Danio rerio: one gene and its partner. The protein of the gene in region 1 interacts with the protein of each later gene in a biochemical or structural test. Links are inferred from orthologs where the notes say so. Each region holds a gene or a part of one and is shown on either strand. Other genes may lie near its edges.

Region 1 (3,662 bases):
TGTCACTAGGTGGCACTATGACTGACTCAATATTGGCATTTAGATGTCTTCAGGAGAGGAATTTAATCAACCATGTGAAGTTTCAGGCAGATCAGACATTGTGTGGTTGAGTTATAAGGACTTCCTTTTTCATGGCGAAGCGTTGAGGTTTGTCATGCCACCACATACACGCCCCTCTGCAAAAACTCTAGATCTTCACAATATATCATCGCTTGAGCTGTCAGATACAAAACTAACCAAATTTGGTGCTGATATGAAAAAATTTGTGGGATGAGTTTATTACTTTGTAAATCATGACATTTTCTGTGGCCAGCAGGTGGCGCTATAACTGTATCTGGATATCGGCATGTAAACTTGTTCTGGTCTGGACTTATATTAAACATGTGGATTTTGAGGCAGATCTGATAATGCATATTTGAGTTATAATGACTTCCGGTTTTGTGGCGAATCGTTAAAGTTTGCGAGGCCGCCACGGACACGCCCATCGACAAAACCTCTAAAGCATCGCAATTTAACATCGCCAAGGCCTTTAGATGACAAAACCCAATTTTGGTGTTGATCGGATAAAATCCCTAGAAGGAGTTCGTTAAGATACAAAGCCTGGAAATGGCAAAAATGCCACTTATTTGCCGCAGGAAGTTAAAAATATCCGACTTCCTGTTGGGTTTGAGATATGGCTCCAAGAGACTTTTTCGTATGTTTTGGCGTGTTTAAGGTGTGTGCCATTTTTCATGCATGTGCGTGATTCGTAGATCAGGGGCTCGTCCGTTTAATTTTTATAGGTGGCGCTGTCGAGTCATTTTGCCACGCCCACTTCATTATTGTTATGAGGATGTGTTCAGGAGAGGACTTTTATCAACCATGTGAAGTTTCAGGCAGATCGGACATTGTGTGCTTGAGTAATAAGGACTTCCTGTTCCATGGCGAAGCGTTGAGGTTTGTCATGCCGCCACGGACACGCCCCTCTGCGAAAACTCTAGATCTTCACAATATATCATCGCTAGGGCTTTCAGATAACACAACCCAAATTTGGTGCTGATACGAAAAAATTTGTGGGAGGAGATTGTTACGATGTAAAACATGTCATTTCCTGTGGCCAGCAGGTGGCGCTATAACTGTATTTGGATATCGGCACGTAAACGTGTTCAGGTCAGGACTCTTATCAAACGTGTGAATTTTGAGGCAGATCGGATAATGCATGCCTGAGTTATAATGACTTCCTGTTTTGTGGCGAATCATCAAAGTTTGCGAGGCCGCCACGGACACGCCCATCGACGAAAACTCTAAAGCTTCGCAATTTAACATCGCCAAGGCCTTTAGATGACAAAAGCCAATTTTGGTGTCGATCGGATAAAATCCCTAGGAGGAGTTCGTTAAAATACAACGCCTGGAAATGGCAAAAACGCCACTTTTTCGCCGCAGGAAGTCAAAAATATCCGACTTCCTGTTGGGTTTCAGATATGACTCCAAGAGACTTTTTCGTATGTTTTGGCGTGTTTGAGGTGTGTGCCAATTTTCGTGCATGTGCGTGATTCGTGCATCGGGGGCTCGTCCGTTTAATTTTTCTAGGTGGCGCTGTCGAGTCATTTTGCCACGCCCACTTCCGAAGCCCATAACAAACGTAAATTTTCGCCACTTCTGAGGCGTGTGCAAAGTTGCGTGAGTTTTCGGGCATGGTAAGGCCCTCAAAATCGCGATTCATTCCGGAAAAGAATAATAATAATAAACGGAGCAATTCCAATAGGGCCTTGCACCGTTCGGTGCTCGGTCCCTAATAAACGGAGCAATTCCAATAGGGCCTTGCACCGTTCGGTGCTCGGTCCCTAATAAACGGAGCAATTCCAATAGGGCCTACGCACCGTTTCGGTGCTCGGTCCCTAATTAAATATTTAACAACAATGAGCTTTAAACAACTTATCGACTTAATCACAGAGGTTTTTCCATATTAAAAGAAATGTGTTTTCTTTTTAAACATTTATTTAAATGTATTTTAAAATACACAAAAAAAGCAAACATCTGTTTTATAAATAGAAATTTTTGAATTTATCTAAAATGTTAAACATATTTCACATACATTTTATATTTTTAAACATTTTAAATATGTTTACTTAATTATTTTCTAAAGAAATTTTTCATTTAATTTCTATAACAATAAAAGCAAGAAAAATCTTTTTTTTTTCAAATGTTCTTCTTTATTATGCTTTTTAAAAATTGCATTTTAAATTCATTATTTGAATATAGGACTATTTTAAATTTTATTTTGGAACAATTATTTTAAAATGACAATTTAATATTGTGCTCTATACAAAGTTTTTATAATAAATTTCTGACTGAGATGTCTGTTATTTCCACTGCTATTTATGTAATAGGCATTTATAAAGTGCATTTATTCTGTATGGCCATAACAATCATGGGGGGGGGGATCTCTCCACACCACCACCATTTAGGAGAACTCTTAGTGGTAGGATAAAATGTTTTGTGAATACAGGCCCTAGACTATTTTAGATTTTTTTTTGTTTTTTTTGTTTTTTTCTATTTTAGATTGGTTAAAGACCTCCCACAGTCCATCTGATATTTTACAGCAACCTATCACAGTTCATTCTGTTGGGAATTAAAGGTGTACAATTTTATGTCCCTACAAAAAAAGACCAATGTGAAAACTCCTTGCATATAGTTTAAATAAATAGTATGTTCTTTTGTACACTAAATTTGTAAAACAGTATTTACCATTGCAAGCGATAATCATCAGTTACAAAACCGTTTTTTTCATATGAGGGGGGATTGCCATCATAATGGATTCGTTTAAAAAAAGTGCAAAACAAATGTCTCATTCAACCAATAACTTGAAGAACTTGAAATGTGCTCAGGCATTCATTTAGCGGTCTGTGGGTGTAATGTCTGAGGCTGAGACAAACAAGTTCACATGCACACAAACTTACTTCGACTGCCATAAAGGAGAGTGTGTGCATACCAAAGGAAAACCCCAGCAGTACGCATATGATGGTGAGCCCCCCAGAGGACACAAACAAACACATCAACACCAACAACAAATGCATATGGCTTCCCAGTGCCGTGCTGGAGGGGGAAGATGAGAGCTATAAAATACAAACAAACAACATCATAGTCAAATGATGGCTACAGATTATACAATAAATTACTCTAAGACTGTTTTCATTCATGATGTTGTTGTTGTTGCAGGAGTAAAACCATTCAACATTACTGTCCAATTGACCACTAACATGGGAAAAACACAGCATAATTTTGTGTAATGATGAAACTAAGTTGAGAAGTTGTCTAGTAAACAGACTAGAGTTCTAGGGCTCTAATGCTATTTATAATGTCCAACCTGAAATTGATATGGACTTTGGTGGTGGTCACATGGCAGGTCATCTGTGTTTTGCACAGGATTTTCAGTATTAGGTATCTGGACATCCACTGCAAATAATATATTTACTTACAAACTCAAAACGATCTTTGCAGAGCTGTGCCAACAGCTGGAGAAAAAGAAGAGCAGAGAAGCACAGACACCACATGGCCATCTCTCTTTCTGTCCGTACATTCAGCACACCAAACAGAAAGATCAGCTTGTTGAATAGAAAGTTCCAGGTTTTGTCCTTGAGGTTCTAATAGCAGGATTGCCAAAAGCCAAAATGAAATCGAAC
Region 2 (2,830 bases), on another chromosome or scaffold:
TCCACCACATAGAAAAAAACTTGATCATTCCTGTCAATCTAAATCCCTGTAATCTTTCTAAAGTTATCTAATGAAACTATATTCATATTGCAAAATATAAATCACAGAACAATATACATGCATACATACATACACACACATAGATACCACACACCAAAGATGGACAATATTGGTAAAATCTGACATTGTGATATTTTGTTTTCTGCAATTTATATTTAGTATATATATCATTTTATTAGGTGATTTAAATACCTCTATTTGGAAAGATTACATCAATTTAAGTCGACTGGAATGATCTTATTTTTTATTTATGCAGTGGAGCTACAAAAATTATAATAAATTAAAAGCTAAATAAACTGCTAAATGGGTTTTATGGGGAGTATTTAAGTACAGAAATCAAACAATCAAAAGTAAAATAACATGGCCATCATTGTATAAATAAAAAAAATAATAAAAAACAAAACAATAATGTAAAAAAATGGCAAAGAAATAAATATATAAATGAATATTTTTTTAAATAGTTTTAAAAACAAATTATTTAAAAATAATAATAATTAATAAACAAAACAATTAAATAATAATAATAAAAATAATTAAATATAAATATATCTTTTACAAATATTGTAATATAAATGCTCAGATAAATGCGCATTCTGCCCTGATTTGCACAGTGTGAGCATTTTTCTGTCGTCAAGGTAAAAAGAGAAACTTACGGGTTCTGGATGTTGGTCCTCATTTTGGTTCTGCTGGTTCTGATTGACCTCGGGTGCTGGCTCATTTTGAGGCCTGGCTTGAGGCCTCTGTCTGAAAGGAAACCAGCCTGCTGTGTGTCTGAAACAGAAAAAGAGAATCATTAGAATAAATGACAAAAACACATTCATGCCTTTATTTCCATTAAAATGACACCATCAAGTTTTTAAAAAAAGTCAGCCCGAGCTAATTGTTTATTTTGTAGGGTGAAGTCAAGTTTGCATGTTAAGGCCATCACACACTGAACACCCTCAGATCAAGCTAATGATTTCTGGACTGCCACGCACTGGTGTTTAAACTAGTCAAACTGCCACGTTAGCAGAGATAAAGCATCAGAAGTTGATTTTTAACACTCAGTTCTAACAGTTGGAGATTAGCGAAAGAAGTCTCAGAAGGCCCTCAAATGCAGGCATATGTCTTCTTTCTGATCAGAGAGAGCCTGATAATTTCTGCTCGCCTTAACTGCTCGTTGCTTTCATATTGCTCAGGAATGCGTGTGTGAGTTTGTACACCAACAAATGGCTCACTGCCTGAAGTTGCGTAACAGAGTGAAACTGTGCTTACAAATTAAAGAATCTCGCACTTGTCTTTTTTTTCACCAACGAGGACAAAACAATACTGAAACCCTCAGACCTTCAGTGGCACCACAAAACAAAACAGAGCAACCAATTCCTCAAATATCACTCCTTTTAACTAGTTATTTTTAGAGAAACAAAAGTATGAGCATAACTACTGCAATCCAGTTCCTAAACAAATGATTCCTATGAACTGATGCTTTCTGATGAATTGAAATAAAGTTAAGCCAGTGTATTTCAGTTCCTTAAATTACATTGATTGGTCTATTATTGTATTTTATAAAATTAAAAACATACAGAAAATGACTCTTGTGAACTAGTTGGTGACTCAAAACCACTTCTATTTTACTAGTACAATACTCAAAAACACTAAACACGAGTTATTGAATATTATATGAATGAATGACGTTTTGTAAACTTACAGGTACATAATAACCAGGCTGCTCATGACCAGGATGAAGCGGCTCATGCTGGAATAGAAGTATACAATGCTTAGGAAGACACCCAATCGTGATGCTGTGTACATCCAGTCCAGCCAATCTCGGTTCATGTCCTCCTCATCTTCGACCACAGGCCCACCCTGGGCATTCATACGGAGATTTTGATTGGCTCCCTCTGGGTTGATGAAGGCAGGTCCTGGGGCATTCTGATTGGCTGGTAGGTCATTGATGGGGCCTTGATTGGGTAAAGCTGCAGGTACAGCAGCTTGATGAGGGCCAACAGGGAGCGAGGAAGCGGCAGCAGGGGTGGTCATTGGAGCCGAGGCAGCGGCTGCCATTGCAGCTTGACTGAAATAACACATTACAGCATTTAAAACAGTGTACATTCACACTTTCAATATCTTTTACTAGAGCCCAGGCTGCCTCATTACACACGAACCAAAATTGTCAAAGTTTTGACACTTTCCTTTAATAAAAAAACCCTTCTGCTGTCATTAAAAGCAGGACAGTCCAATAGAATGCGTTTTACAGTAATAGTAATTGTGCAAACAAACACTGAGTGGGGTCTTTATCTTTAAGCCTGTGCTTAGAATGCAACTTATTTTACAGTAAATGCTGTTTAACTTAATCTCTGTATGGAAAGTGTTGAGTTCAGTTAATATATAATGCTAAATTGAAAACGCCTTGAGGGTTTTCACCATAAAGCAAATAGCATTCAAAAAATAAAGACATTAAAGTAGAGCCATTTAATTAAATCAGATTAGTAATGAAATTTTACACTTATTTAATGTTATCAGTTATCATTTGTTCCTTCTTAAATATTATTTTTGTAATAATGAAAAATTGTAATATTAATTAATATATAGGGATTCTTTATTTCATACTTTTGGTCAAACAGCAAACCCTTTCAAACAAGCAGAACCTAGATCATTTTAAATAAATAAATCACATTTTAAAACTGCAATATTATTTGTAGGAACCCCCCTCAAAAAAGTAGACCGTTAAATAATATTTTAGCTAAAATCATGGTTCTTAGTGATTCATCAGTGCCATTTTGTGAATTGT

Evidence for each region.
Region 2: of the proteins of amfrb (region 1) and herpud1, one has a biochemical effect on the other in vitro, tested with the Homo sapiens proteins (6 studies listed by BioGRID and IntAct, with this or other methods). The link is inferred for Danio rerio from reciprocal best matches to the Homo sapiens genes AMFR and HERPUD1.

The regions. Positions count from the first base shown.
Region 1 is NC_133182.1:35,358,124-35,361,785, reverse strand, and holds part of amfrb (E3 ubiquitin-protein ligase AMFR-like), read right to left. Parts: intron 3,624-3,662; coding exon 3,459-3,623; intron 3,096-3,458; coding exon 2,940-3,095; intron 1-2,939. UniProt on the Homo sapiens protein: E3 ubiquitin-protein ligase that mediates the polyubiquitination of lysine and cysteine residues on target proteins, such as CD3D, CYP3A4, CFTR, INSIG1, SOAT2/ACAT2 and APOB for proteasomal degradation.
Region 2 is NC_133193.1:18,988,629-18,991,458, reverse strand, and holds part of herpud1 (homocysteine-responsive endoplasmic reticulum-resident ubiquitin-like domain member 1 protein), read right to left. Parts: intron 2,114-2,830; coding exon 1,748-2,113; intron 832-1,747; coding exon 714-831; intron 1-713. UniProt on the Homo sapiens protein: Component of the endoplasmic reticulum quality control (ERQC) system also called ER-associated degradation (ERAD) involved in ubiquitin-dependent degradation of misfolded endoplasmic reticulum proteins.